Linked DNA regions of Elephas maximus indicus. The protein of the gene in region 1 purifies or fractionates together with the protein of each later gene. This does not show direct contact. Links are inferred from orthologs where the notes say so. Each region holds a gene or a part of one and is shown in the gene's direction. Other genes may lie near its edges.

Evidence for each region.
Region 2: the proteins of GP6 (region 1) and LYN purify together in Homo sapiens (affinity purification with western blotting; 5 studies listed by BioGRID and IntAct, with this or other methods). This does not show direct contact. The link is inferred for Elephas maximus indicus from reciprocal best matches to the Homo sapiens genes GP6 and LYN.

What each region holds. Positions count from the first base shown.
Region 1 is NC_064829.1:92,075,560-92,092,320, forward strand, and holds the start of GP6 (platelet glycoprotein VI), read left to right. Parts: upstream 1-8,301; 5' UTR 8,302-8,338; coding exon 8,339-8,372; intron 8,373-16,761.
Region 2 is NC_064837.1:77,113,908-77,130,124, reverse strand, and holds the start of LYN (tyrosine-protein kinase Lyn), read left to right. Parts: upstream 1-8,505; 5' UTR 8,506-8,588; intron 8,589-16,217. UniProt on the Homo sapiens protein: Non-receptor tyrosine-protein kinase that transmits signals from cell surface receptors and plays an important role in the regulation of innate and adaptive immune responses, hematopoiesis, responses to growth factors and cytokines, integrin signaling, but also responses to DNA damage and genotoxic agents.

The sequences.
Region 1 (16,761 bases):
TAGGAGGGAATGTGACCCTCCTTTGTCACTCAGATCATCACTATGACAGCCTCCATCTGTACAAAGATGGAAGAAAAGCCTTGGGCTATTTCCATCAGGACCGTAACACCTTCCTCATCTCCCCTGTGACTCTGACCAATGAAGGGATCTACACATGCTATGGTTCTTCTAGACAAAACCCTCTCCTCTGGTCACTGCCCAGCAAACCCCTTGACCTTGTGGTCACAGGTAAGTGCAGATCTGTCACTTTTGCTCTGTGCTCAAGAAGTCCCATAAAGTTTTTAAAGTGGTATCTTAGTTATCTAGTGCTGCTATAACAGAAATACCACAAATGGATGGTTTGAATAAACAGAAATTTATTTTCTCACAGTTTAGGAAGCTAGAAGTCCAAATTCAGAGCGCCTGCTCTAGGGGAAGGTTTTCTTTTTCTGTAGGTCCTTGTCTCTTTAGCTTCTGCTTCCTGCTTCCGTGGAGGTCTCCATGTGTCTTGGTATCTCTTTCCCCATCTCTGCTCACTCTCTTGCTTATCTAATCTCTTCTATATCTCAAAAGAGATTAACTCAACACACACCTTATACTAATCCTGTCTCATTAACATAATAAAGACAACCCATTCCCATATGGGAGTATAACCTCAGGCATAGAGGTTAGGATTTACAACACATATTTTGGGAGGACATAATTCAATCCATAACAACAGGTGGAGAATTTCAATTCTACTGTCTGTTTTTGTTGATTGTGATCTGCATAAGATGCCCCTTCTAAGGTCCCTTCATTTAATTTATAGGCCCTGAGGATTTATATATTTGTTATGACAATTTTTTGGCAGTTGTAAGTAAATTGTTTTGGGAATGTCTTTTACCCATCCATATGAAAAACCAAAAAACTAAACCCATTGGCATCCAGTCTATTCTGACTCATAGTGACCCTATAGGACAGAGTAGGACTGCTTCATAGGGTTTCCAAGGAGCGCTTGATGGATTTGAACTGCTGACCTTTTGGTTAGCAGCTGAACTCTTAGCCACTATGCCACCAGGGTTTCCATCCATATGAAAGTGCTATATAAACTCGTTGCAGCCCTTGGGAATCAGACTGGGGTGTAGGTCTACCACTTAGTGTGTGGGTGTGTCATCATCCTTAACACCCTCCTCAGGCAGGTCCATCTCTATATAAGAGGTTGACAACAAGTGCTGTCACTAACTAGAAGTGATAAAAAGTGAAAAGGGGGACCATGCTAGTTTCTTCATTCAAGATACTAAGACAATGGAGAAAGCAGTAAGACATTTATAGAACATCCAAGGTGAAATTATGGTTGAGGTCCCCCAAGGTTATGCTGGGAGGAGGCATTGCCAAGTTCTTTGTGGGTGGGTCTGTTGAGTTCTAGAAGACATAGCTTTCCTAGTTAGCTGCATCTTGTCAGGGGTTCAAGGGAGGATACTGTATCCAGGCACAGAAAAATGTGGAACAGAAGCACAGAGCTGTGAGGCAAGCCTGTCTGATGTTTTCTGGGAATTATAGGTAATTACTTTGTGGGAGAATGTAGGAGCTAGGGCTGGAAAGATGGCAACAAGGAGGCAGGAGCTTGAAAAGGAAATGACAGGGATAGAGTGGAGAAGGTGATGGCACATAAGTGGACAAGTTTGTGTATTTGTATGATCAGCTGACAGGCAGCAACACTAGGTAGACTAAAGATGATCTGTTTCAGTTGTCCAGTATCTGCTGATGGTTCCTAAATTTAGAATCACCATAAACAAATACTTCCATGAGTTTCAGAGTTATATGTCCACTTAGACACCCGATAAGCGTCTCAAATAAGCTCTTGCTTGACAAATCTCTAAACCTCTCATACAGGTCGCCTCATCTCAGTAGATGCCATCTCCATCATCCCAATGATCAAGCCAGGTCCCTGAGAATAATCATTTAAGCTCCTCTTTTGCTCTCAATTCCCACATACTCTACCACCAATTCTCAAATCTCATTATTTCCATGCTGAAAAGAAATTTCAAACCCAATCCCTTCTCTCCTCCATCAACATCACATTGTTATACCATGATCACTTGTCACCTAGCTGCCTGTAACAGGTTCCCTGTCTCTCTACTTTCCATCTTGCCTACTAAATTAATTTACCTAGCAGTAACTGCAGTGATTTTTTTTTTCCTCCCAAAACACATAGCTCGTTGCTTGCCAATTCCTTCAGGGTCATAATTGCACATAGAATAAAACCGGACTCTTCTCTACAGCTTCTAAAATTCTTCAGGCTCTGACTCTTGCTGACCTCTTAGATCTCTACATGTAAGGATACGTTTACATATTGGATTACGTCCCTAGACTCTGTTGTTGGGTAGGTTCACTAGTGTCCCAAACATCCAATAACTTGCCTGGTATATGGTAGGTGCTCAATCAATGTTTATTGAATGAATACAACAGGTGCTTAATAACAGATATTTACCATTTTGTAATTCCTAGATCCATATGGTCTTGAGCAAGGATACAGTCACGTTGTGATTGGGGTCTCGGCTGCCGTTGTCTTTATTTTCCTCTTCCTCCTCCTCTTTCTTCTTTGCCGTTGGTATCATGCCAAACACAGTATGTCCTGGAGATGGAAGGGTTAACCTGGGAGAAGTGGGAGGTGGGCTTGGTGGATTCCTCCCAGGACTCTGATCACTAATTCTCTGTAGGAGCTATTGATGGTGAGACCAAGAACCAAGTCAAGTATAACAGGTAGGAAAAGTTGGACTTCTCCAATAATAAAACCTGCTTCTGTCTTATTTCTCAGACCCCCTCTAATGTTCCTGTCTCCTTTCCCTCAGCTCCAGCCCATCTCTGGATGTCCAGGAAGAAAATCAATGTAAGGGGGAGAAAGGGGACCTGGGGTGAGGAAATGAGGTGGCGGGGGAGCCTGGAAGCATTCAGGAAGAGGGCAGAGAAAGTGGGGTTGCCACCTTGCTGTATGATGTCCCTGCCCTTGTCTGGATTTTAGTCACACCATCTCTGAAATATGGCTGGGAGCACTAAATGTTTCTGAAGGCCCTCAAAGAAGGTCCAACTCCTTATTTTCCTTTCAGATGCTACCATTAAGGACATCCAACCTGAGGAGTATGAACAGATGGATACGCAGGTAAGTATTTCCTTACCTATATCCTCTCCTTCCTTAGTCTTCTCCCCTAGTGCTCTCTTTCACGTCGTATCTCCATGCTGACAGGTCCGCAAAGCAGAAGACCCCAAAGAAGTGACATATGCTGTGTTGCAACAGGAAAACCTTATGAGGAGTGTGGATGTCCCGTCCTCCTGCACCCTCAGGGATGCCTCTCAACAGCCCTGTGTGTATGCCACCCTCACCTTGCCCTGAGCCCAGAGCTGGGACTGGCTATGTGGATGCTAGGGTTCAAATGCCCTTTAAGCTCCACGTGGCATACTACTCATATTCCCTCAACACTAGCCATCAACTTGGAGCTTCCAAAGAAGAAAGTACAAAGAAGCCATGTCAATCGTTAAGAGATTCTGGAACCCGTCAAATATTTTTCATATGATTCCAGATTCTTCACTTGCTTGCTTGTTCAGCAAATGTTTACAGAAGCCAGCTCTTTCCTTGGACCGTTGCTGGTGCTATCCAGATTAGTAAGACACAGTTTCTAGTATCAGAGAGCTCAAAGTCTACTGAGAGAGGAAAGCTACATGATCTGGCCCTTACAAAGCAATGCAGGAGTGACCTGCAGGAGCAGGTAGAGGAATGCTTTGGGTTCTTTGAGTAGGGACAACTTTCCAGGCATATTTAAGAAGTATCATCTGCTCATGGAATACAGATTTTCTGGAGCCAAGGAGGCTGGATGAACCGAAGGAACTATTACCGTGAGATAATCTTTAAAACTTAAACCAAAAATATCCTCTGAAATCTTCTTAAAACCAAACAATACCTTAACTAGTAAAGAATGTATGCCTTGAGTGTTGTGGTTGAAGTTTTTATTGCATGGGTGGATATAATTTTCAAAAGTTAATGAAATGAACTCTCAATATCTGTGCATTATATTGTATGTAAATCATGCCCAAATAAAATATTGCTTTTAAATAAAAAAACTATATGGGATCAAATTGACAGCAGCAATTCAAAAGATTAGATGGGAGCCTTAGGGGGGCAGTGAGTCCATGTTAATGGAGAAAGAACAATTTGGAAAAGGAAGGTGAGAATGGTTGCACAACTTGAAGAATGTAATCAATATTGCTGAATTGTATTTGTAGAAGTTGTTGAGATGGTACATGTTCTGCTGTGTATATTCTCAACAATGACAACAAATAAAATAAACTATAAAAAAAAGAGGTGCCATCTGGCACCAGATACAAGAAGTCAAGAAGAAATAAGAGTCATATTGGTTGCTGTTGGTATTTTACTCCAAAGTTCTAGGACCTGCTGAGAGCTGAATCCTTCAGAAGAGTGAAGAGTGAAAGAGGAAGGGCTCTTCGTGAAGTCACTATATTGCAAAACAAAATGAAATTCTCTCTTTCCTTCCCTCACTTTCACATGCCCTTTCTCCCTCTACACACACACACACACACACACACGCACACACCATATAAAAAAGTTCAAACCAATCTGACAACAAGGAATTGCTCTTGGAGAGAGAGATGGTGCAGAGGGTATGTGAAGAGGAATTGATGATTTTCCTCCAGTTTTGATGATATTCTCTTCTTAATTGTGCAATTAAAATAAACAGAACATAATGAAAAAGAGATGTGTATGAGAGAAGAACTGGAGTACATATGAAAAATAACTCTTTCAATAAGTTTTGATGAAAGAAATTGGAGAAGAAAGCTAATGTTAGAACAGGGAGAAGTAGTTTTGGCAGGGAAGGGGTAGATTTTTTTTTATGCATGTGTGTTGGTTGATAGAAATAAATGAGGTGGGATAGTAATGTAGTTAATACTGGGGAGGGAAAGATGATTGACACTTGGTGGAATGGCATATTAGATAAGAGTTCAGGTTCTGCAATGAATGGGTTTAATCTGGGTTCAAATCCTTCTTCTGCCATCCACAAGTCCATGAATATGTACACAAGATAATATTGCATCTCAGCACCTTGCTCTTTTCCCTCAAGGCGCTTATCAAAATTTCTGTGTATTCGGCATTAACAGGCTACAAACCATAACCAACAACACACACGCTCCAAAAGATAAGCTAGATAACTGGGATCTTCTAAAAATTAAACACTTATGCTCATCGAAAGACTTCACCAAAAGAGTAAAAAGAGAACCTACAGACTGGGAAAAAAATTTTGGCTATTACAAATCAGACAAAGGTCTAATCTCTAAAATCTACAGAAAAGTCCAACACCTCTACAACTAAAATACAAATAATCCAGTTAAAAAATTGGGTAAAGGAAATGAACAGACACTTCACCAAAGAAGACATTCAGGTGGCTAATAGACACACGAGGAAATGCTCACAATAACTAGCCATTAGAGAAATGCGAATCAAAACCACAATGAGATACCATCTCACCCCGGCATTACTGGCACAAATCAAAAAACCAGAAAATAACAAATGTTAGAGAGGCTGTGGGGAGGTTGGAACTCTTATGCACTGTTGGTGGGAATGCAAAATGATACAAGCATTTTGGAAAACCGTATGGTGCTTCCTTAGAAAGCTAGAAATACCATATGATCCAGCAGTCCCACTCCTAGGAATATATCCTAGAGAAATAAGAGTCATCACACAAATAGACATATGCACACCCATGTTCATTGCAGCATTGTTCACAATACCAGAAACAGATGGAAACGACCTAGATGTCCATCAACAGATGAATGGATAATCAAACCGTGGTACATACACACATAGAGTGTTATGCAAAAATAAAGAACAATGATGCATCTTCGAAGCATCGCATAACCTGAATGAATCTGGAGGGATTATGCTGAGCGAAATAAGTCAATAAATAAGTCATAAAAGGACAAATATTATATGAGACCACTGCTGTAAAAACTTATGAAAAGCTTTACACACAAAAAGAAACATTTGATGGTTACGAGGTAGGGGAGGGGTGGGGATGGAAAAACACTAAACAGACAATAGATAATAGGTAACTTTGGTGAAGGGTAAGACGGCAGACAATACTGGGGAAGCCAGTACAACTTGCCCAAGGCAAGGTCATGGAAGCTCCATAAACACATCCAAGCTCCCTGAGGGACTGAATTTCTGCGCTGAGAGCTGCGGGGACCATGGTCTCAGGGAACATCTAGCTCAATTGGCGTAACACAGTTTATAAAGAACATGTTCTACATTCTACCTTGTTGAGTAGCATCTGGGGCCTTAAAAGCCTGTGAGTGGCCATCTAGGATACTCCACTCGTCTCACCCCTTTGGGAGCAAGGGAGAATAAAGAAAACTAAAGATACAAAGGGAAAGATTCATCCAAAGGACTAATGGACCACAACTACCATGGCCTCCACCAGACTGAGTCCAGTACAACTAGATGGTGCCTGGCTACCATCACTGACTGCTTTGACAGGGATAACAATAGAGGGTCCCGGACAGAGCTGGAGAAAAATGTAGAACAAAATTCTAACTCACAAAAAAAGACCAGACTTACTGGTCTGACAAAGACTAGAGAAATCCTGAGAGTATCGCTCCCAGACACTCTTTTAGCTCAGTAATGAAGTCACTCCTGAAGTTCACCCTTCAGCCAAAGATTAGCCCCATAAAACAAAACGAGACTAAAGGGCACACAAGCCCAGGGGCAAGGACAAGAAGGCAGGAGGGGACAGGAAAGCTGGTAATAGAGAACCCAAGGTCAAGAAGGGAGAGTGTTGACATGTTGTGGGATTGGCAACCAATGTCATAAAACAATATGTGTACTAAATGTATAACTAGAAGATAGTTTGTTCTGTAAACCTTCATCTAAAGTACAAAAAAAAAAAATTCCTTGTATTTTAATTCCTCATTTGTTAAATTGAATTTTGCTTAGGATAGAAGACTCACGAGGGCAGGGACCCTGTGTCTTTCTCACTGCTGCGTCTGGCACCATTCATTATCTCTTCAGTATTCTTCTTTGCCATTAGAGTGTGAATTAGCTTAGAGGAGCAACACTTTAAGTTTCTTCCGAGCCAATCAACAATCCCAGAATTTCTTGCAGCTAGGTATGGCCGTAAGGTTGGTTTTGGTGAGTTCTAAGTGGTCACCTGCTGGGTGAATTCTGGGAAAGATTTTGTATTCATAATAAAGGGGACAGATGTGGTTAGCATAAGCCTCTGCCCCATCTTCCTACTTTGAACATGGATACAATGCCTGGGTCTAGGCATCCAGCTTGTGATGTTGAGGAGAAAGCCAAGAGGATGACAGAGAACCCAACTCTGCCATCATTGGGCCACCACACCAATGCCTTCATTACATTCTATTTTGTGAGAAAAACAGAATGAATTGTCTAATAATTGTTACTATTTTTTCATTATATGCAGTTAAAAGCATTTGGAATTGATAATATGGCTAATGTCAAGGGCATTCCACAATATTTGAAAGGAAGTAGGTATTCAAATATGTTTGTTGAATTAGTCAGTGGCTTAGGGAGGGTGTGACAGTCAATTTTGTGTGTCAACTTTGCTAGGTTATGATTCTCAGTGGTTTGGCCAGATACTGGGCTGGTTGCTGTTCCGTAATGTAACATAATACAATGTAATGTGGTGTGGTGTGGTGTGGTGTGGTGTAATGTAATGCAACATAATGTAATCATCTTCCATGAGGTGATTTGATGTGACAAACCAGTCAGTTGAAAGGGGAGTTTCCTTGGCAGTGTGGCCTGCCTCTGGTATATAAATGGATATTCTGGCAGAGCTTGCTCTCTCTTTTTGAACCATGTACTCTTTGCATTGCCTGATTTATGGATTGTGGGATATAAGCCTGCAGAAATCTCTGGCCTGTCACCTGACCTATGGATTTTGGACCTGCCAGCCCCACAGTTGCATGAGCCAATCCCTTGAAGTAAATCTCTCTCTGTATACACACACACACACACACGCACATACATGTCTCACTGGTTTTGCTCCTCTAGAAGAACAGGTGATGTCAGGGAGTTTATGGAAATATCAGAACATGGGCAATGTCTCTCAATGAGAAATGAATGGTGTGACTCCAGGCTGGTGAAAGGAGTTAAGTGAGACTCCTTCGGGCTTGTGTGCGAGTCATTCTACCGAGGAAATGGTCCAGCTTGATTAGCCTGAACTAGGAAAAGCCAGGGCTGATGGAGGGGAGGGAGGAGCATATCCTTCATCTTCAACACATCCTGTCTCTGCTCTAGGCCCCCACCACCTCCTTCCCGGGGCCACAGAACTCAGGACGGGACTGAGGAACCATGTCTCCATTCCTGTCCGCCCTCTTCTGCCTTGGTGAGTCCTCAGGGTGGATCTGGGAGAAGCGGAGGGGATAGGCACAGGGCCACCAGATGAAGACTCCTAAAATTCCAGGACAAAAGGGGACCTATGAGAGCCCCTTCATTGGTTGGGTGGGAAAACTTGGATCCAGGGAGATTATGTGTTTTGTCTAAATTATATTAGTTTATTCATGGTTGAGTCAGGAAACGAACACAGGTCTCCTTGTTTGGGCTGCAATGTTATTCCATTATACCATGGTTGCTTTTATAGATATATATGTATGCATATGACTATGAGATCAGGGCTAGACTGTAGGTTTAATTTGCCAATGTTCCTTATAATAGCAAGGGAGCAAATAATAATCTGTCACAAGGAGGGATTGGATGTATTTTTTACTGCCTGATCTTTATCAGGCTTTGTGCCAGGTGTGTTGTAGACGTTGTTTATGTTTTCAGAAGAACTTTACTGCTGAAGGGATAGGGTTCCAGCAGGCTAAGCAGGAAGGAAGCAGTTGTGTCACTGGAGTTAATAGGGCAGACTCTAATTAATCGATCAATCAATTAATCAGTCAACACGAGCTTACTATGCATGGGCCAAGAAGCCTGGGTAGTGCAAGTGGTTTGTGATTGGCTGCTAACATAAAGGTTGGTGGTTCGAACCCACGGAGTGACTCCATGGAAGAAAGTCCTGGTGATCTGCTTCCATAGAGAATACAACCAAGAGAACCCTGTGGAGCAGCTGTACTCTGTCTGTGACACATACGGTTGTCATGAGTCAGAGTCAACTCGATGGCACGGGGTTTGGTTTTGGTGTTGGATGATGGGTCACGTATTCTTCTTTTTTTTTTTTTTTCTTAACAGATACTAATGCATTTAATCCCCATGACAGCCCTGTGAGGTAGGGTCTATTATCCCCATTTCACACATGAGGAAACTGAGGCCAAGAAGGGTAAAGTAAGTAACTTGTTCAAGGCCACACAGCTAGGGATTGGATTCAAACTAAGAAATTTTGGTACCAAATCCATGTTCTTTACCGCTAAAATATGCTGCCCATGTTTGAATTGAGCTCCTTCCAACTGCAGGATGTTGGACAAGATACTAATGCTTTCGGTGTTTTAATAGCTTGGTATAGAAAATGGTACTAATAATGGTACCTACCCAGTAGATACTATGAGTCAGAATCGACTCGACGGCACTGGCTTTGGGTGACCCAATAAATTATGACGAGGATTCAGAGTCCATATGCAGAAAGTGTTCAAAATGGCTCTTGGGTTATTTCCAGTCATGTTTTTTTTAGAGGGTTGCATGAGAATTGTTAGGTTTATAATAGAACGATAATAATCTTTATCTTCATGTGTGTGTGTCTCTGTGTGCAAAAATTAGGGTTACCACATATCCACAGAGGATTCAGTTAAATTTTAATTTCAGATAAACAACAAATAATTTTTTGTGTAAGTATATCCCAACTATTTCATGGGACATATTTATACTAAAAATTGTTGTTGTTTATCTGAAATAAAAATTAACTGGAAAGCTGGCATTTTTATTTGCAAAATTTGACAATTCTAGTAAGATTGAAATAGAAAATACTATCAACTCAGGAGAAAGGCAAAAAAGATGTCTTAGCTTCCACAATTTCGTGGAAAAGCTATTGAAAATTGTGGAAAGAATTAACAATAAGTTCAAGGAAAACTAAAAAAAAACCACAAAGGAAAACTATACAGATGGAAATAAACCAGGCATTCATCAATTAAAACAAAAAAACCACACTCGTTGCCGTCGAGTTGATTCTGACTCATACCAACTCTTCAGGAGAGAGCAGACAGTAAAACTCCATAGGGTTTCCAAGGAGTGGCTGGTGGATTTGAACTGCTGACCTTTTGGTTAGCAGCCAAACTCTTAACCAAGTGCCACCAGGGCTCCTATTGATTCCAGGGAAAACACATAGGAAAAATATATAAGCACAGCGTTATAATGCTCAGATGTGAACGATATTTGCATAGTCATAACAATGTAATCACAGAATATTGATTTAACAAAAAAAGTATAAAACAGTAGGAAACCTGTGAGTAACACACCCTGAGATATCTTGACTTATGATATAATGCAAGAGACCTCATCCTGGACAAAGCCCCCTTCTCAAAGAGGAAGTTTTTTTTTTGTTTAAATTGTGTTTTAATTGAAAGTTTACAATTCAAGTCAGTCTCTCATACAAAAAACTTATATACACCTTGCTATGTAACCCTGGAAACCCTGGTGACGTAGTGGTTAAGTGCTATGGCTGCTAACCAAAAGATCAGCAGTTCGAATCCACCAGGTGCTCCTTGGAAACTCTACGGGGCAGCTCTACTCTGTCCTATAGGGGCGCTATGAGTTGGAATCGACTCGATGGCAATGAGTTTTTTGGTTTATGTAACTTTTTTAGCTACTCTCCCCCTAATGTGATGGCACATTCCTCCTCTCTACCCTGTATTCCCCGTGTCCATTCAACCAGCTCCTGTCCCCCTCTGCCTTCTCATCTCACCTCCAGGCAGAAGCTGCCCACATAGTCTTACATGTCTACTTGAGCCAAGAAGTTCACTCCTCACCAGTATCATTTTCTGTCCTACAGTCCAGTCCAATCCCTGTCTGAAGAGTTGGCTTCGAGAATGGTTCCAGACTTGGGCTAATGGAGGGTCCGGGGTCGCTCCAATATCAGTCAGACCATTAAGTCTAGTCTTTTTATGAGAATTTGAGGTCTGCATCCCACTGTTCTCCTGCTCGATCAGGGATTCTCTGTTGTGTTCCCTGTCAGGGCAGTCATCAGTGGTAGCCGGGCACCATCTAATTCTTCCCATCTCAGGCTGATGGAGTCTCTAGTTCATGTGGCCCTTTCTGTCTCTTGGGCTCATATTTACCTACGTCTTTGGTGTTCTTCATTCTTCCTTGCTCCAGGTGGATTGAGACCAATTGATGGCATCTTAGATGGCCGCTTGCTAGCATTTAAGACCCCAGATGCCACTCACCAAAGTAGCATACAGAATGTTTTCTTAATATATTTTGTTATGCCAATTGACCTAGATGTCCTCTGAAACCGTAGTTCCCAGACCCCCGTCCCTGCTACTCTGGCCTTGGAAGCATTTGGTTGTATTCAGGAAACTTCTTAACTTTTGGTTTGGTCCAGTTGTGCTGACCTCACTTGTATTGTGTGCTGTCTTTCCCTTCACCTAAAATATTACTTGTCTACTATCTAATTAGTAGACAAATAGTATTACTTGTCTACTATCTAATCGGAAACCCTAACCAAAAGGTCGGCAATTCGAATCCACCAGGCGCTCCTTGGAAACTCAATGGGGCAGTTCTACTCTGTCCTATAGGGTCGCTATGAGTCGGAATTGACTCGATGGCACTGGGTGGGTTTTACTATCTAATTAGTGAATACCCCTCTCCCTCTGTCCTCATCCTCATAACCATCAAAGAATATTTTCTTCAATATATAATATAAACTTTTTCTTCAGTTCTTATAATAGTGGTCTCATACAATATTTGTCCTTTTGCAACTGATTAATTTCACTCAGCATAATGCCTTCCAGATTCCTCCATGTTATGAGATGTTTCACGGATGCATCATTGTTCTTAATTGTTGCATTGTATTTCATCACGTGAACATACCATAATTTATTTATCGATTCATCTGTTGATGGGCCCCTTCATTGCTTCCATCTTTTTGCTATTGTAAACAGTGCTGCAATGAACACGGATGTGTGCATATATCTATTTGTGTCGCGGCTCTTATTTCTCTAGGATATATTCCAAGCAATAGTATTGCTGGATCATATGGTAGTTCTATTTCTAGCTTTTTAATGAAGCACCAAATCAATTTCCAAAGTGGTACCATTTTACATTCCCACCAGCAGTGTATTAAGTGTTCCAGTCTCTCCACAACCTCTCCAACATTTATTATTTTGTGTTTTTTGGATTAATGCCAGCCTTGTTGGGGTGAGATGGTATCTCAAGGTAGTTTTGCTTTGCATTTCTCTAATGGCTAATGATCGTGAGCATTTCCTCACGTATCTGTCAGCTGCCCAAATTGTCTTTGTTGAAGTGCCTGTTCATATCCTTTGCCCATTTTTAAATTGGGTTATTTGCCTTTTTGTTGTTGAGTTTTTGCAGTATCATATAGATTTTAGAGATGAGATGCTGATCAGATTTGTCATAGACAAAAACTTTTTCTGAGTCTGTAGGTAATCTTTTTACTCTTTTGGTGAAGTCTTTAGATGAGCATAAGTGTTTGATTTTTAGGAGCTCCCAGTTATCTAATTTCCTTCTGGTGTTTGTGCATTGTTAGTAATGTTTTGTATACTGTTTATGCCATGTATTAGGGCTCCTAGTGTTGTCCCTATTTTTTCTTCCATGATCTTTATCATTTTAGATTTTATATTTAGGTCTTTGATCCATTTTCAGTTAGTTTTTGTGGATGGTGTTAGGTATGGGCCTTGTTTCATTTTTTTGCAGGTGGATATCCAGTTATGCCAGCACCATTTGTTAAACAGACTGTCTTTTCCCCATTTAACAGACTTTGGACCTTTGTCAAATATCAGCTGCTTGTATGTGGATGGATTTATGTCTGGATTCTCAATTCTGTTCCTTTGGGCTATGTATCTGTTGTTGTACCAATACCAGGCTGTTTTGACTACTGTGGCGGTGTAAGTTCTAAAAACAGGTAGTGTGAGGCCTCCCACTTTGTTCTTCTTTTTCAGTAATGCTTTACTTCTCTGGGGCCTCTCCCCTTTCCATATGAAGTTGGTGATTTGTTTCTTCATCTCATTAAAAAATGCCATTGGAATTTGGATCAGGATTGCATTGTATCTATAGATTGCTTTGGGTAGAATAGACATTTTCACAATGTTGAGTCTTCCTATCCATGAGCAAGGTATGTTTTTCCACTTATGTAGGTCTCTTTTGGTTTCTTGCAGTAGTGTCTTGTAGTTTTCTTTGTATAAGTCTTTTACATCTCTGGTAAGATTTATTCCTAAGTATTTTATCTTCATGTGGGCTATTGTAAATGGTATTTTTTTTAGTGATTTCCTTTTTGAAATTCTCTTTGTTGGTGTAGATGAATCCAACTGATTTTTGTATGTTTATCTTGTATCTTGATACTCTGCTGAAGTCTTCTATTAGTTTCAGTAGTTTTCTTGTGGGTTCTTTAGGGTTTTCTTTGTATAAGATCATGTCATCTGCAAATAGAGATACTTTTACTTCTTCCTTACCAATCTGGATGCCCTTTATTTATCTAACAAAATTGCTCTGACTGGAAACCCTGGTGGCATAGTGGTTAAGTGCTACAGCTGCTAATGAAAGGGTCGGCAGTTTAAATCTGCTAGGCGCTGCTTGGAAACTCTATCGGGCAGTACTACTCTGTCCTATAGGGTCGCTACGAGTTGGAATCGACTCGATGGCACTGGGTTTGGTTTTGATTTTTAATGGCTCTGACTAGGACCTCCAGCACATTGTTGAATAAGAGCAGTGATAAAGGGCATTCTTGTCTGGTTCCTGTTCTCAAGGGGAATGCTTTCAGACTCTCTCCATTTAGGATGATGTTGGCTGTTGGCTTTGTATTAAAAAAAAAAAAATTTTTTTTTTTAGATGCCCTTTATTATGTTAAGGCATTTCCCTTCTATTCGTATTTTGCTGAGAGTTTTTATCACAAATGCGTGTTGGGCTTTGTCAAAGGCTTCCTGCATCAATTGATAATATCATGCGGTTCTTGTCTTTTGTTTTATTTATATGATGGATTACATTGATTGTTTTTCTAATGTTAAACCATCCCTGCATAACTGGTATGAATCCCACTTGGTCATGGTGACTTATTTTTTTGATATGTTGTTGAATTCTATTGGCTACAATTTTGTTGAGAATTTTTGCATCTAAGTTCATGAGGGATATAGGTCGGTAATTTTCTTTTTTTGTGGTGTCTTTACCTGGTTTTGGTATCAGAGATATGCTGGCTTCATAGAATGATTTTGGGAGTGTTCCATCCTTTTCTATGCTATGAAGTATGTTTAGCAATAGTGGTGTTAACTCTTCTCTGGAAGTTTGGTAGAATTCTCCAGTAAAGGCATCAGGACCAGGGCTTTTTTTTTGTTGGGAGTTTTTAAATTACCTTTTCAATTTCTTCTTTTGTTATGGGTTTATTTAGTTGTTCTACCTCTGTGTTAGTTTAGGTAGGTAGTGTGTTTCTAGAAATTTTTCCGTTTCCTCTAGGTTTTCAAATTTGTTAGAGTACAATTTTTCATAGTAATCTGATATGATTCTTTTAATTTCAGTTGGGTCTGTTGTGATATCAGCCATTTCATTTCTTATTTGGGTTATTTACTTCTTCTCCTGTTTTTCTTTGGCCAGTGGTTTATCGATTTTGTTGATCTTTTCAAAGAACAAGCTTTTGGTCTTGTTAACTCTTTCAATTGTTTTTCTGTTCTTTATTTCATTTAATTCTGCTTTAATTTTCATTATTTGCTTTCTTCTGGTGCCCGAGGGTTTCTTTTGTTTTTCTCTTTCTATGTGTTGAAGTTGTAGAGATAGTTCTTTGATTTTGGCCCTTTCTTCTTTTTGGGTGTGTGCCTTTATTGCTATAAATTGACCTCTAAGCACTGCTTTAGCTGTGTCCCATAGGTTCTGGTAGGAAGTGTTTTCTTTCTCATTGCATTCTATGAATTTCTTGATTTCTTCTATAACTCAGTAGTTTTTGAGCAAGGTGTTGCTCAGTTTCCATGTGTTTGATTTCTTTTCCCTGCTTTTTCTGGTATCGATTTCTACTTTTATAGCTTTAGGGTCAGAGAAGATGCTTTGTAACATTTTGATGCTTTGGATCCTGTTAAGTCTTGCTTTGTGACCTAATTTTCAATGCTGTTAAAGTCTGTTTTGTGTATCTTGAAGCCCTCTCATTGGATACATAAATATTTTTTATGGTTATATCCTCCTGGTATACTGACCCTTTAATCATTATACAGTGTTCTTCCTTATCCTTTAGTGGTGGATTTAACTTTAAAGTCTATTTTGTCCCAAATTAATATTTCCACTTCTGCTCTTTTTTTGATTGTTGTTTGCATGACGTATTTCTTCCACCCTTTGAGTTTTACTTTGCTTGTGTCTTTAAGTCTAAGGTTTGTCTCTTGTAAGCAGCGTATGGGCAGATTGTGTTTTTATCCATTCTGCCACTCTTCAAAGAGGAAGTTATTGTTATTATTTTTTAAATTGTGCAGCAGAGTTAGGTCTGATAATTGACTTCCTGTGGTCATTGGGGGATTTTCTCAGTTCATTTATGATCAGTTGAGGGTAGATTTTGCTGTCTTTATTGGCGTAATTTTTGTGACCATATAGGCTACTGAAAAGTATTTACTTTCCACTGACCTGACCATATATTTTCTTTATAAATTTTGGGGCCCAATGATGGCACAATGGTTAGGCACTTGGCTTCCAACCGAAAAGTCAGTGGTTCGAACCCACCAGTGGCTGCTTGGAAGAAAAGATCTGGTGATCTGCTCCTCCTATAAAGATTACCTTTTACCTTTAAGTTGATTCTGACTCATAGCGACCCTATAGGACAGAGCAGAACTGCCCCACAGGGTTTCCAAGGAGCACTTGGTGGATTTGGTTAGCAGCTGTAGCTCCTAACCACTATGCCACCAGAGTTTCCCCATAAAGATTACAGTTTAGGAAACACTAAGATTCAGTTCTACTCTGCCCTACAAGTTCACTGTGATTTGAAATCAACTTGATTGCAGACAAAAACGACGTATTTATTACACATGCAATAATACCGATGCATACCACAACATAGATGAACCTTGAAAACATCATGCTGAGAAAAATAAATCAGTTGCAAAAGGACAAACACTGTATGATCTTACTTATGTGAAGTAAACCAATATATAGAAACCGAAGATTATTAGTGGTTACCAGGAAAGGGATGGAGGGGGAAGAAGGAGTTTTCGATTAGGATACACTGAGTTTATGTTAATGGTGGTTGAATGATTTGGAAAAGGATAGTGAGAATGGTGGCACAATTCGAAGAAGGTAATCAGTGTTACTGAATTGTACATGTAGAAATTGTTGAGATAGCATATGTTTTGTTATTTATGTATATTTTCACCCTGGTACCACAATTTAAAAAAGAAGTAAAGAAAATTACAACAACACACAATATGCTATTGTCTATTTTGTATATTAGGAAATTGAAAGAATGAAAAGAGAGAATGGCAGTGTAAAGACTGAATCATCAGCTCCACTCGGGGAAGTCCATAAACAATGTCTGAAATGAATAAATTAACAAATGGATGTATCCACACATATTTTTTGTAGAACTATGGAAACATAGGGGCCCTGGTGGTGCAGTGGTTAAAGAGCTCAACTGTTAACCAAAAGGT
Region 2 (16,217 bases), on another chromosome or scaffold:
GATCATATGATAGTTCTATTTCTAGCTTTTGAAGGCAGCGCCAAATTGATTTCCAAAGTTGTTGTACCATTTACATTCCCACCAGCAGTGTATAAGTGTTCCAGTCTCTCCACAACCTCTCCAACATTTATTATTTTGTGTTTTTTTGATGAATGCCAGCCTTGTTGGAGTGAGATGAAATCTCATTGCAGTTTTGATTTGCATTTCTCTAATGGGTAATGATCATGAGCATTTCCTCATGTATCTGTTAACTACTTGAATGTCTTCTTTAGTGAAGTGTCTGTTCATATCCTTTGCCCATTTTTAATTGGGTTATTTGACTTTTTGTTGAGTTTTTGCAATATCATTAGAGATAAGATGCTGAACAAAAATGTCGTAGCTAAAAACTTTTTCCCAGTCTGTAGGTAATCTTTTTACTGTTTTGGCGAAGTCTTTGGATGTTTGATTTTTAGGAGCTCCCAGTTATCTAGTTTCTCTTCTAGTATTTGTGCATTGTTAATAACGTTTTGTATACCAATTTGCTCGCAGCATTGTCCCTGTTTTTTCTTCCATGATCTTTATTATTTTAGATTTTATATTTAGTTCTTTGATCCATTTTGAGTTAGTTTTTGTGCATGGTGTGAGGCATGGGTTTTGTTTCATTTTTTTGCAAACGGATATACAGTTATGCCAGCACCATTTGTTAAAGAGACTGTCTTTTCCCCATTTAACAGACTTTGAGCCTTTGTCAAATATCAGCTGCTCATAGGTGGATGGATTTATGTACGGATTCTCAATTCTGTTCCATTCGTCTATGTGTCTGTTATTGTACCAGTACCAGGCTGTTTTGACTACTGTGGTAGTATAATAGGTTCTAAAATCAGGTAGTGTGAGGCCCCTCACTTTGTTCTTCTTTTTCAGTAATGCTTTACTTGTCTGGGGCCTCTTTCCCTTCCATGTGAACTTGGCGATTTGTTTCATCTGATTAAAAAATGTCATTGGAATTTGATCAGAATTGCATTGTATCTATAGGTCGCTTTTGGTAGAATAGACATTTTTACAATGTTGAGTCTCCCTATTCATAAGCAAGTTATATTTTTCCACTTACATAGGCCTATTTTGGTTTCTTGCAGTAGTGTCTTGTAATTTTCTTTGTATAGGTCTTTTATGTCTCTGGTAAGATTTATTCCAAAGTATATTATCTTCTTGGAGGCTACTGTAAATGGTATTGATTTGGTGGTTTCCTCTTCGATGTTCTTTTTGTTGGTGTAGACGAATCCAAGTGATTTTTGTATGTTTGTCTTGTATCTTGATACTCTGCTGAACTCTTCTATTAGTTTCAGTAGTTTTCTTGAGGATTCTTTAGGGTTTTCTGTGTGTAAGATCATGTCATCTGAAAATAGGACTATTTTTACTTCTTCCTTACCAATTTGGGTGCCCTCTATTTCTTTATCTGGAAACCCTGGTGGCATAGTGGTTAACTGCTACAGCTGCTAACTAAGAGGTCGGAAGTTTGAATCCACCAGGCGCTCCTTGGAAACTCTATGGTGCAGTTCTACTCTGTCCTGTAGGGTCGCTACGAGTTGGAATTGACTCGACAGCAGTGGATTTGGTTTTTTGGTGGGTTTATTTCTTTATCTAGCCTAATTGCTCCGGCTAGGACCTCCAGTTCAGTGTTGAATAAGAATGGTGATAAAGGGCATCCTTGTCTGGTTCCTGTTCTCAAGGGGAATGTTTTCAGAATCTCTCCATTTAGGACGATGTTGGCTGTTGGCTTTGTATAAATGCCCTTTATTGTGTTGAGGAATTTTCCTTCTATTCCTATCTTGCTGAGAATTTTTATCATGCATGGGACTTTGTCAAATGCCTTTACTGAATCAATTGATAAGATCATGTGTTTCTTGTCTTTTGTTGTATTTATATGATGGATTACATTAATTGTATTCCTAATGTTGAACCATCCCTGCATACCTGTGTGAATCCCACTTGGTCATGGCGAATTATTTTTTGATATGTTGTTGAAGTCTACTGGCTAGAATTTTGTTGAGGATTTTTACACCTATGTTCATGAGGAATATAGGTCTGTAATTTTCTTTTTTTGTGGTGTCATTACCTGGTTTTGGTATCAGGGATATGCTGGATTCATAGAATGCATTTGGGAGTATTCCATCCCTTTCTATGCTCTGAAATACCTTTAGTAGTAGTGGTGTTAATTCTTCTCTGAAAGTTTGGGAGAACTATCCAGTGAAGCTGTCCAGGCCAGGGCTTTTTTTTTTGGTGGGAGATATTGTTTTTTTCTGTCTTTTTTTAAAATAATTTTTATTGAGCTTTAAGTGAACGTTTACAAATCCAGTCAGTCTGTCACATATAAGCTTATATACACCTTACTCCATACTCCCATTTTCTCTCCCTCTAATGAGTCAGCCCTTCCAGTCTCTCCTTTTGTGACAATTTTGCCATTTTCTAACCCTCTCTACCCTCCTATCTCCCCTCCAGACAGGAGATGCCAACACAGTCTCAAGTGTCCACCTGATACAAGTAGCTCACTCTTCATTAGCTTCTCTCTCCTACCCATTGTCCAGTCCCTTCCATGTCTGATGAGTTGTCTTTGGGAATGGTTCCTGTCCTGGGCCAACAGCAGTTTTGGGGACCATGACCACCGGGATTCCTCTAGTCTCAGTCAGACCATTAAGTCTGGTCTTTTTATGAGAATTTGGGGTCTGCAGCCCACTGATCTCCTGCTCCGTTAGGGGTTCTCTGTTGTGCTCCCTGTCACGGCAGTCATCGGTTGTGGCTGGGCACCATCTAGTTCTTCTGGTCTCAGGATGATGTAAGTCTCTGGTTCATGTGGCCCTTTCTGTCTCTTGCGCTCTTAGTTGTCGTGTGACCTTGGTGTTCTTCATTCTCCTTTGATCCAGGTGGGTTGAGACCAATTGATGCATCTTAGATGGCCGCTTGTTAGCATTTAAGACCCCAGACGCCACATTTCAAAGTGGGAAGCAGAATGTTTTCATAATAGAATTATTTTGCCAATTGACTTAGAAGTCCCCTTAAGCCATAGTCCCCAAACCCCCGCCCTTGCTCCGCTGACCTTTGAAGCATTCATTTTATCCCGGAAACTTCTTTGCTTTTGGTGTAGTCCAGTTGAGCTGACCTTCCGTGTATTGAGTATTGTCCTTCTTGTTGGGAGATTTTTAATGAGCTTTTCAATCTCTTCTTTTGGCATGGGTTTATTTAGTTTTTCTACCTCTGTTTTGTGTTAGTTTAGGTAGGTAGTGTGTTTCTAGGAATTCATCCATTTCTTCTAGGTTTTCAAATTTGTTAGAGTACAATTTTTTGTAGTAATCCAATGTGATTCTTTTAATTTTAGTTGGGTCTGTTGTGATATCACCCATCTCATTTCTTATTCGGATTATTTGCTTCTTCTCCCGTTTTTCTTTTGTCAGTTTGTCCAAAGGTTTATCGATTTTGTTAATTTTTTCAAAGAACCACCTTTTGGTCTTAACTCTTTTAATTTTTTTTTCTATTTCATTTAATTCTCCTCTAATTTTTATTATTTGTTTTCTTCTGGTGCCTGTGGGTTTCTTTTGTTGCTCTCTTTCTATTTGTTCAAGTTGTAGAAATAAGTCTTTGATTTGGGCCCTTTCTTTTCACGTGTGTGCATTTATTGATGTAAACTGACCTCTGAGCACTGCTTTAGCTGTGTCCCAAAGGTTCTGATAGGAAGTGTTTTTATTCTCATTGGATTCTATGAATTTCTTTATTACATCCTTAATTTCTTCTCTAACCCAGTCATTTTTGAGCAGGGTATTGTTCAGTTTCCAAGTTTTTGTTTTCTTTTCCGTACTTTTTCTGTTATTGATTTCTACTTTATGGCTTTATGGTCAGAGAAGATGCTTTGTAATATTTTGATGGTTTGGTTTCTGTTAAGACTTGCTTTATGACCTAATATGTGGTCTATCCTAGAGAATGTTCCATGTGCACTGGAGAACAAAGTATACTGGCTGCTGTCGGGTGGAGCGTTCTATACATGTCTATGAGGTCAGGTTGGTTGATTGTGGCATTTAGATCTTTTGTGTCTTTATTGAGTTTCTTTCTGGATGGTCTCTCCTTCACTGAAAGTTGTGTGTTGAAGTCTCTTACTGTAGTTGCGGAGCTGTCTATCTCACTTTCCACTGCTGTTAGAGTTTTTTTATCTTGCAGCTCTATCACTGGGTGCAAAAATATTTAATATGGTTATATTCTTCTGGTAGATTGTCCCTTTAATCATTATATAATGTCCTTCCTTGTACTTTGTGGTGGATTTAATGTTAAAGTCTATTTCGTCAGAAATTAATATTGCCCCTCCTGGTCTTTTTTGATTGTTGTTTGCTTGATATGTATTTTTTCATTCTCTGAGTTTCAGTTTGTTTATGACTCTAAGTTTAAGGTGTATCTCTTGCAGGCAGCATATAGACAGATCATGTTTTTTTAAATCCATTCTTCCACTCTCTTTCTCTTTATTGGTGCATTAAGTCCATTTACATTCAGTGTAATTATTGATAGGTATGAGTTTTTAAAAAAACTTTTTTTTTAATGAGTTTAGTGCTGTCATTTTGATGTCTTTTTTTGTGTGTGTTGTTAACAGTTTCTTTTTCCCACTTAATTTTTTGTGCTGAATATTTATTTTCTTTTCCTCTTATTTGTTGTTGTTGATTTTGTTTTTGTTAAGTCTTTATTTTTTTCTTGTATTTTATTTTGATGTGTAGGTTTGTTAGTCTCCTTTGTGGTTACCTTAAAATTTACCCCTATTTTTCTAACTTTAAACCTAACTTTTCTTTCTTTATATCACCTGGACTTCCTCTCCATATGAAAGATCTATGACTATATTTCTTAAAAAAAAAATATTTCTTAGTCCTTCTTTATTGTTTGAATGTTGTCTTCTTTTACATAGTAACATTGCTGTTTCCCTGTTTTGAGTGTTTTTTAATCTTGATTTATTTTTGTGATTTCCCTATCTGAGTTGATATCTGGTTGCTCTGTCCTGTGTTCTAGTCTTGGGTTGATATTTGATATTACTGATTTTTTAACCAGAGAACTCCCTTTAGTATCTCTTGTAGTTTTGGTTTGGTTTTCACGAATTCTGTAAGCTTCTGTTTATCTGGAAATGTCCTAATTTTGCTTTTATATTTGAGAGACAGTTTTGTTGGATATATGATTCTTTGCTGGCAATTTTTTTCCTTCAGTGCTTTATATAAGTCAACCCATTACCTTCTTGCCTGCATGGTTTCTGCCGAGTAGTCCGAGCTTATTCTTATTGACTCTCTTTTGTAAATGGCTTTTTGTTTACCCCAGCCACTCTTAAATTCTCTCTTCATGTTTGGTTTTGGCAAGTTTGATTATAATATGCCTTGGTGACTTTCTTTCGAAATCTATCTTATGTGGAGTTTGATGAGCATCTTGGATAAATATCTTCTCATCTTTCATGATATCAGGGAAGTTTTCTGCCAACAAATCTTTAACAATTCTCTCTGTATTTCGTGTTATCCTTCCCTGTTGTGGTACTCCAATCACTCGTAGGTTATTTCTCTTGATAGAGTCCCACATGATTCATGGGATTTCTTCATTTTTTAAAAATTCTGTTATCTGATTTTTCTTTGAATGTATTGGTGCCAAGTGTTTTTTCTTCAGTCTTCTAATTCCTCAATTCTGTTCCTCTGACTTTCTATTGAGTTGTCTAATTTGTAAGTGTATTGTTAATCTTCTGAATTTCTGAATGCTGGTTCTCTGTGGATTCTTGCAGCTTATTAAAGTTTTCATTATGTTCTTGAATAACCTGCTTTATTTTTGTGTTCCTTGGCCTGTTCTCCATTTTTCCTGATCTAATTCCTGATGTCTTCAAGAGTTGTATATATTAATCTTTTGTATTCTGTATCTGGTAATTCCTGGAAGACACCTTCATTCACAAGATTCCTTGTTTTGAGAGCTTGTTGAAGTGATCTGGTCTACTTCTTTATGTGATTTGATATTGACTGTTGTCTGCAAGCCATCTATAAGTTATTGTATTAGTTTATGTTTGCTTAGCGTATCCTAGCTTCTTGCTTAGTTTTATTTTGATATGTCCTAACAGACTGCTTGAGTGAGCTAGCTTATTTTCACCTTTGAAGCTCTAGCGTCCTGTCACCAGATGGCTAGAGATGTTACCCGGTGTATGAATCTAGGAGTCCATTCCTTTTTCTTATATGGATTCAGCTCAGGTGTCCAGTAGTCGGTCATCAAGGGTGTAGTACGGGCTCTGTCCTAAAGTCTTAGAGGTGCAGGGGTGATTGATGTAGGTACAGATATCTGTTTGCATAGAGGGTCACATTCTGAACAAGGCACGGGGCTGACAACTGTTCCCTGGGTGTCTGTGAGGAAAGTGCATGCCTGTTCCTTAGAGTGCATGGTTGGGTGGGTTCTGCACTAGGACCATGGGTACCCAGCTTTTGGTTGTAAAGACTGGGAGGTACCTCTTATCCTTGGACCCCTTTTGTGGGTGGCTAGGTGATGTGGGTGTAACCACCAGTCCTTAGGCCACCAATGTGGGTAGGTGAGGACCCCATTTAATAGGCAAAGCAGTGTCAAACATCAAACACCCACCTCTCTGCCACACAGCTGAAGCAGTTGCAGTCTGACAACAAGGGCCTGTTCTTCTGAAATGGGCCCACACAGGTCCGTGCAGAGGTGAAAAGTATTCAAAGTCTGTGGAGCATTTGTGCCTGAACAAGAGCTGCTCCTGTCCTGAGCTTCCCAGCTTAGTGTAGCTGGCGGATTATCTTTTCCCCCATCTGCTAATTTATTCCTTCTCCAAGACTGGGAGAACGGATCAGAGTGCACAGCAGAACCTATCTCAGGCCCAGAGAAATCGACAGCCACTGAAGCCAGCTTGGGGGCTGGGAGGTGGAGGGGCGGGTGTGTGTGGTAAAATAAACACAAACACTTAGCTTTGCCAAAAGCACCCATTCTTCTCTGGTTCTGGAGGTGTGAGTAAGCTGTGTGGCTTGCTGTCTCTCCCTGAGGAAACCACGTCAGGAATGCTACTGCACCAGCTTGCCACGGTCGCTACAGGGAATGGTGCCTGAGGGTTCCCGGAGGTTCAGGTCTGGCAACCCTAGCAGCTTCTCAACTATGTCTCCTGCCCCCTGCCACTCAGTCTGTTTTCTAACTTTGCCTTTGATGTTCGGAGCTCCTAGCTTGCCATAATCATTTCACTTGTTTTGGGGGGGGGTCTTTGTGTCTTTGTTGTAAGAGGATCACTGTAAGCATCCGGCTACCCTGCCATCTTGGCCCTGCCTCAAAAACAATCCTTAAGGAAGCAGACTGCCGCATCTTTCTTCTGCAGAGCTGCTGGCAAGTCCAAACTGCTGAACTTTTGGTTAACAGCCGAGTGCTTAACCTCTGCTCCACCAGGGCTCCTTCTGAAGCCCACTAGGCCCTATGTAAGTGTTGGATATTATTAATGCAAAGAGCACATCTACTAACAGTGTGTAATTTATTTCCTTGTAGTTTTTACAATGTAGTGCAAAACTGGAATTCTAATGAATGGAGTCCTTAGAATAAGCGATCATTGATTGTGGATTTGTAAACGGCATTTACTGAGTTGGAGCCTGAGCTCAGAGAGGTAGTCATTATTACAGCAAACACTGAGGCACCTGATGTGTGTGGGAGGCTAGGGACGCTAAGAAGGAAACACTACCATCATCATATGCTAGACACAGTTTCAGCCCTTCACAGAAGGCTGGCTTATTCTCCCAATATGCCATTCGTGTCTGTTTTCCTGTGAGGAAATTGAGGATTTGAGGACCTGAGAAAATTTCCTGTCCGTTCAACTCTACAGCCCCCTTGCCCCCGCACTCCTCTCCTTCCCACCACTCCTTGGGCCCCCCAATCAATACCCTGAACATCACTGCCTACACCTTAAGGAGCTTGCTCTGTGTTGAGTTATTGACTCAGGGAGACTCTGAGCATCTACTCATTATATCTATTCCTCTCTAGAGAGAGCTCGCTCCCTCTGCTCCCAGCAGCACCCCATCTCCTAACATTTGGGGAAGTAGGTTGGAGGAAAGGAAGGAGACGATAGAAGTTTCGAGCATGTGCTTGGATTTTCAGAGAATCTCCTGGAAGATCCTTTGGTCCGTCTCTATAAGAGGATGTTGGACCTGAGGCTGCTCTTATCTCCCCTGCCACCCACGGGGACGCCAGGTTTCCTTTCTTTCAAAGCTCTGCGCGATGGCCACACCGAAGCCCCGAGCTATGGGCAGGGGCCAAACGGTCACTTCCCCGCCCTCTGGGCGCAGTATGCAAATCCGAGCACCAGGAAGTAGCTGGGAACTCCCGGCCGAGCCCAGCGACCGCCAGTTCCTCTCCGCCGCGCCGGCCCGCGCCGCAGCTAGCTCCCGGCCGTGGCGCCCCGGGCCAAACGCGCTGCAGCTCCCAGCCCGCGACAGCGGCGGCCCGCGCCCCTCGGCCCAGCCCGCGCCTTCGCCGCCGCCCCCACGCTGGCCGGATCCGACCGCCCCGTCGGGCCCCTTGCTTGGATCTGAAGTCACCGTGGAGCTCGGCCGCCGCCCCCCAACTTCCATCGCGAGCGGGTGAGTAGTGAGAGCGAGCGGGCCGGCCGCGGGCTGGGGGGCGCGCCGGGTCCCTGCTCCACCGACCCCGCCCTGGAAGACAGGGACGCCCTGGCGCCTTCAGCCCGAGGGTGAGCGGGCCTGAGAGCCGGGTCGCGGGGGCGGGCGGCTCTGCAGGTGTCTCGCGGCGGGCGGCGCAGGGGCGGGGTGGGAGGTGCGAGGCGTGCGGATGGACGCCCCCTGGTCGCTCCCTGAGTGCGGCGGGGAAGCCCCTTTGCGCGCTGAGCGGGCCCCCAGCAGGGATCCGGTGGCTCAGGGCCCTGGGGTCGTCCGAGGTGAGGGGTGGGGCCCTTCGCGCAGCTGCCCTTTCGGTGGCCCCGGGCAGAAACGTGACGTCGAGGGGCTGCCGCGGGGCCGGCGCGCACCCTCCCCGTGAGCCAGGCGCCTTGCGCCCCGCGGAGGAGCAGCCGGTGCCTGCGCGGAGAGGAAGCGAGAGTTATTTTAAGAATACTGGGGTTGCCTTTTTTTCGCCTTGGGGGCAGGGTGTAAGCGTCAGTTCCCACTTTCCGGCGGCGTTATCTTGGTGGACTGTCAGCGTCCATCAGTCGCCGCGTGGTCGTGTGTAGTGTGGTTCTCATTCTTTGCATATCCAGTGTGTGTGCCTGAAGTACCCCAAATCCACTCAACTTCTTTACCATCTCAGAAACCTGAGTCGGAATCCGAGGGTTGCAATTTCCTAGCTGTGTGTGAACTTGGGCCAATTATTGAAATCCCGTTCGTCGTTTTCCTCACCTGTTAGCCGTTTATTAAAAAAAAAAAAAAAAAAAAAAACCCTACTAAGGCATTCCCTAAGTGGTGTTATTATTATTTATTGCAAATAATTTTGTCCATCGAATTGAGGCTCCTTGGTTCTTTGCAATTTGATGGCTTTAAGCCCAAGACCACACGTCCAATTTACCCGTCCTTTTTATGCTGGGTCCTTGCTCTCTGAAAACTCAACTGTACTAGTAAACCTGCTTAATAAATACACGAGGGACTTGCTGTTCCAGCACAGAGACCGGGGGTCTGATTTATAAGAGCTAGCCAAAAAGGATTTTGAGTCGCTGCCTGTGGTCTGCCCTCAGCTGGCAGTAAGGTTAGGGAGGGCAGGGATGTTCTGTAGGGCCAGCACCTGAAGCAGTGATGCCTGGAATAGGCACTCAAACTCCTCACTCAGAAGTCCTTACTAAGGTAAGCTGTGCTGGGAAAGGGTGGCGTTCAGTTAGTGCCTCAGCTTTCATTTGCAGGTAAGGAGATAGGCATCTTGAGGCTTGAAGGATTTAACTTTATCACAAGCTTTGGGTGACTGGTCCCCTTGGATGTAGAGGACCATAACCCTCTTCTGAGTGCAGGGTAGAGGTTAGCCGATGTCAGAGAAGAGAAAACAAGAGCCAGGAAACTTCAGTTTTGGTCTCACCTGCCATTTGCTGAGCTGTGATTTGGGATGAAGTTAGTTGGGCTGTTTCTTCAGCCAACATTTGCTTCATAGCAGCAACCAAAGTTGCATCACAATTTGTTACATGTTTATAGTGTGCATTCACTAGGAAAGTGGAAGCTCCATGAGAGTGCAGCTTCGTCCGTCCAGCCCAAAATGCTAGACTGGGGGTCTGTGCATTCACTAGGAGAATGGAAGCTCCATGAGAGTGCAGCTTCGTCCATCCAGCCCAAAATGCTAGACCTGGGGTCTGCACATAGTACGTGCTTGAAAGGAGGAGGGAAGGGCCTGATCTGAGACAGTCACCTGCAAGGTTGAGATCAGATGGAGAGAAATGAACACTCTGGTTCCGAAGGCCCTGGAAGCTCACTGGTCCATTTATGTCCTTTGTCGACCCTGTCACGTGACCCGAGCATGTGTTAGAATCTCCACCCAGGGCTGGCCTCCCTTTGTATCACTGAGAGAGATCTTGATTTGATGTCTTAAGAAGATGCCTCCTATGTATACTTTACCACAATACAGAAAAGGGGAAGGGTGTGTTTCATTAAAAATAAATAAGCCTCCTGCAAAAGTAGGTTGCACAATCAAAAAAACCCACTTCCTTTTATAGTCATTGGTGTTCCAAAGGTGCATGGAGACTCTGGAAGATCCCTCTCCCCACCTCTTGCCTTCAGCGGTTTCTTTTTGGCAGGAAAGTGGTCCAACACAATTTTGTGAATCAGTAGCTTTCACAGCCCTTCAGTTCCATTTATGCATGTATTCAGAAATAAATCAAAAGGTTTGAGATTCCAGCTAGTTCAAGTTAATATATGGAACTATAACTTAAAAAAAAAAAATTAAAACATTACTCATAGATAAGCTTGTAATGGATTGAATTGTGTTCACCCAGAATATGTGTTAACTTTTTTTGGTTAGACCATGCGGGGTTGTCCTTCATTTTGTGATTTTCCTATGTGTTATAAATTATAATCTCTGCCTGTGGTTAAAAGGATTAAGGTGGGATTATAACACCACCCTTACTCAGGTCACCTTCCTGATCCAATGTAAAGGGAGTCTCCCTGGGGTGTGGCCTGCACCACCTTTTATTTCTCAAGAGATAAAAGGAAAGGAAAGCAAGCAAAGAGTTGGGGACCTCATACCACCAAGAAAGCAGTGCCAGGAGCAGAGCGCATCCTTTGGACATGGGATCCCTGTACCTGAGAATCTTCTTAACCAGGGGAAGATTGAGGACAAGGACCTTCCTCCAGAGCCGACAGAGAGAGAAAGCCTTCCCCTAGAGCCGACACCCTGAATTTGGACTTGTAACATACTAGACTGTGAGAAAATAAATTTCTCTTCATTAAAGCCATCCACTGTGTTTCTGTTATGGCAGCAGTAGATAACCAAGACAGAATTTGGTACCAGGAGTGGGGTGCTGCTCTAAGAGACACCTAAAATGTGGAAGTAGTTTTGAAACTGTGAATGGTTAGAGTTGTGACAGGGGCAGAGGACCAGTGCAGCAGAAAACCTGCAGTGGCAGAGAAGTGGCAACAGCAGAGAACCAGCAGCAGCAGAACCAAGAGACAAGTGCGAGACAGCACTGGAGGCAACCCACAGAGTGAGAGAGCTGAGTGCCTGTGTGCAGGAGGCTTCCTGGCAGAGTGGGGATCCTCTGGACACTTACTAGTGGAGCTAGGCTTGCCGACCCATGGAGCCAGAGAGCTGAATGCCTGTGTGCAGGAGGCTTCCTGGCCAAGTGGGGTGCCTTGGGCACTTACTGGTGGAGCTACTGAGCTTTGGAACACTTGCCCCAGCAGGGCAGATGTAGCTGAGGCCCAAGGAGCCACGAGGTCAAGAAATCAGGAAGCAGAAGCTGAAAAGACAACACAAGAAGCTGAGCTGCCTCAGTCTCAAAAGATATGGCCATGACCTCAGGAGCCATGGCCTCTGGTGTTTCTAAGTGTGGACTTGCCATTCAGATGGACTAGGAGAATGGTGTGCCTAAAGCCAAGGGAGCAGAGTTGCTGTCCCAGTGGGCCTGGAAGGAGGAGCTGAAGCCCAGGGCCGAGGGGCCTCCACTCAGAATCTGAAGAGTGTGGTCAATACCTACAGGCTGGGGGGCAGGGCTATTGTGTAAATTGTCTCAGAGAACAGAGGATTATTTTCAAAGCCTTGAGAGCTAATGTAATGTGTCCCGCTGACTTGCTTGGTGCCCGTTATCCCTCCTTTCCCTCCAGGTTCTCCCATTTGTAATGGAAATATCTAGCTTGTGCCTGTTCTGCCATTGTACATTTGGAAGCAGATAACTTGTATTCTAGATTTCACAGATGAGGAAGAATTTTTGGATTTTGGGCTTGTAATTAAGACATTTGCTATGATATGAGGGGATGAATATGCTTTGCATGTTGCCAGACAAGAGTTTTTGGGGGCCAAAGGGTGAAGTTTAATGGATTGAATTGTTTCTGCCCAAAATATGTGTTAACTTGGTTAGGCCCTGTGTAGTTGTCCTCCATTTTGTGATTTTCCTGTTTTATAAATCATAATCTCTGCCTGTGGTTAAAAGGATTAAGGTGGGATTGTAACACCACCCTTACTTAGGTCACCTCCCTGATCCAATGTAAAGGGAGTTTCCCTGGGGTGTGGCCTGCCACCTTTTATTTCTCAAGAGATGAAAGGGAAGCAAGCAAAGAGTTGGGGAACTCATACCACCAAGAAAGCAGTGCCAGGAGCAGAGTGCATCCTTTGGACATGGGGTCCCTGCCCCTGAGAAGCTCCTCAACCAGGGGAAGATTGAGGACAAGGACCTTCCTCCAGAGCCGACAGAGAGAGAAAGCCTTCCCCTGGAGCGGATACCCTGAATTTGGACTTGTAGCCTACTGGACTGTGAGAAAATAAATTTTTCTTTGTTAAAGCCATCCACTTTTGGCATTTCTGTTATGGCAGCACTAGATAACCAAGACAAAGCTCATGCTAATTTTAAATCTGTACAAATGGGAATGCAGTTTATACACGTCTTTAGCATGGAACATTGCTGCAGCTCGTTTGCACTGGTGGTCTCTGTGACCGCCAAGCACTCAGGCATGGATTAGTGTTAATATAGAAGGGTTACCAAAATCATTAGTAAAGACACTCGTCAATGACATGTTGATATTAAGTTTGATGGTGTCTCAACCTCCCTTTGCTTTTCCTAGTGATGATGATGCTAACACCTTCTGCTTTCTGGGGCTGTGAAGCATCCAAACTTTCATTTCACCTGAACCTATCATGGTCCATGTCTTAATAACCTAGTGCTGCTGTAACACAAATACTACAGGTGGGTGGCTTTAAAGAACAGAAATTCCTTTTCCCACAGTTCAAGAGGCTGGAAGTCCAAATTTGAGGCATGGCCTTAGGGGGAGACTCTCTGTTGGCTGTAGGGGAATGTGGTATAATGGATTGCTTTTCATCTGGCCTTTCTAGCCATGGTCTTGTAACTCCCACCCAGGCCATTGGGTGGGACTGTGTGATAGGGTAGTTGTGGCCCACCAAGGGGATTGGTCAGTTTTGCCATCCCGCTGGGCTTGAAATGAGCCACCCTAGAGGCGGGAAAGAGAGAATCCTAGTACCACCAAGGAAGAACATGCACGATCCAGCGTGTCCTTTAGACCTGGGATCCCTGTGCTGAGAAGCTCCTGGACCCAGGAGATAATGAGCTGTAAGCTCGAAGGTGATGAGAAGTGGTGGCAGGAGAGACCCAGCAGCAGGAGAAGGCTTGGTGGGCTTCCACAGAGAGAGAAAGCTGAGTGTCTTTGGGCAGAGACTGAGGCCCAGGGAGAGGCGTGCCTGTGAACATGACTGGGAAGAGGCTGTCCTGATGGAAGAACTGTATCCTGAGTGTTCTTGAGCCTGAATTATAACTGTTACTTCCCTAATAACCCCCACAATTGTGAGTATGATCTGTGAGTTCTGTGTGGCCATTGCAGTGAACTACTGAACCCAATAGGAAAGTAGAGAGTGCTGTGGGACGGACAGTTGGTGTTAGAATTGGTGAAGATGGCAGAGAGAGGAGGCATGTTTGACCTCTGCCTCACAGAAATCAGGCTTGGGCTGTTGATCTTGCTTCTCCTTCCCTCTTGTGGGGTAGGAGGAGGTCAGAACTGCTCCCTCTCCATTTTTACAGGGAAGATCCTTTTTTCTTTCAGCTGCTATAGCCCCCCTGCAGCCATGTTCCTTGGTGGCTTTCTCTCCCCTTGTGTGTATTTCTTTGTGTCTATTCTGGTCTTTTTATAACTCAGGAGTGATTAGATTTAGGACCCACTTTGGAAACCCTGGTTGCATAGTGGTTAAGAGCTATGGCTGCTAACTGAAAGGTGAGCAGTTCGATTCCACCAGGCGCTCCTTGGAAACCCTACGGGGCAGTTCTGCTCTGTCCTATAGGGTCACTGTAGGGTCGCTATGAGTCAAAATTGACTCAACCGCAATGGTATTTATTGTTCTTTTTTGGTTTACACTGGTATGACCACAACTGATTAATTGATCACATTGCATTAGATTGCATTATGGAAGGTAACCTGCTCTACCCAAGGCCAACTGATTGAATCACATGTAACTACACTTGGTTCTCTGCATCCATGGGTTCCAGATCCTTGGGTTCAATCAACTGTGGATTCAAAATATTTGAAAAAAATGTTGCTGATGGGTACTATGTAGTTAGGCCTACAATGGTTGAATCTGTACTGAACATGTACAAACTTTTTTTTCTTGTACTTATTCCCTAAACAATGTAGTAAAACTATTTACATAGCATTTACATGGTATTAATTATTATAAGTAATCTAGAGACGATTTAACGTATATGGGAGGATGTGCATATAGGTTAAATGCTAATATTACACCATTTTATATAAGGGACTTGAGCCTCTGTGGATTTTGGTATCTGTCAGGGTGGGGGAGGGTCCTGGAACCAATCACTTCCGGTACTGAGGGATGGCTGTACACTGTAACGGCAACTATACTAGTGTTTGGCCAAGCAACTGGGAACCATGTCTTAGCCAAGTTGACACGTAAAATTAATCATCACAGTCTTGCCATGTTAGGCAGGGACAGATACAGAAAAGAGGTTTGGTAGCATGTCCAAGGTTACAGGCCCAGTTAAGTGGCACAGTTGAGTATGTTTTCTGGCACCAACTTTAGAGTTTTCCCCACTTGTCTGCCCTTGGATCTGTAGTAGTTACTCAGCTGCTTAAAAGCAAAGATAAACTTAATTTATTGTTTAGTAAACATGTTTGAAACAGAATCACAAGGTAACTTCCTTTTATAAATTGGTGATTGCCTGAAGTAAGTGGCCAACTGCTTAGGATAGATGAGCAAGTGGTGCCATCAAGGAAGGCACTTCAACTAACTGTCTTCTGAAGATGAGTTTCTGTGCCTTCCAGCACTGCTTCTTGCATGGAGGCTAGCTGGTTGTCCTAAAAGCACTCTAAAGACTGCTTGGGGTGCTATCAGATAGTTCTTGGTTACTACAGAAGTGTCCAAGCAATACTTTGCAAGGAGATGCTTGCAGCCTCTGCTAGAAGTGTCATCTGCACGATCCCTAAGAGCCTTCTCTGTGGCTGTTTTACAAGTGAGCATCATGGAGGTGAAAATGTAAAAGAGAGGCCTGCAGGCTGCACATTAGCCACACACACCATTTACTGAGCACCTGCTGTGTGCAAGGCGTGGCCCAAAGCCCACATGCCAGCTGATAGCTACCACATTGCCTCCTGTTCTGTAAGGCAGGCAGTGAAGAGGAGAAAGATATGGAAGAGGAAGTTTTTTTTTTCCATCAGAAATATTGAAAGATTTCTTACAGCCACCCTGTTTCCTGATACTTAAATTGTGAAACTCTGAGTTCACGCTGTCTTCATTTCTGAAATTTATTTTGAATAAGTTCCCATTTGGGGGAGAAGGCCAAGGAAATGGTGTGAAAATCAGCCAGTGGAGGAATTAGAAAGTTTGAAACAGATCAGTTTGTAAAGATTTGGACTTTAAGAGAACCTCTCTTGTAATTTAAAATAGCAAGTTTCAATTGTTACTTGGAATGATATGTTGAAAAGGCTCATCTGTGTGGACAAGTGGCAGGGAGCTAGAATAGGTTTTATTCTTCGTTCTTAAACTTTTTCTTCACTCTTGTTCTCTACTTTCCACTTTCCCTTATTACTGAATAAACTATCAACCTC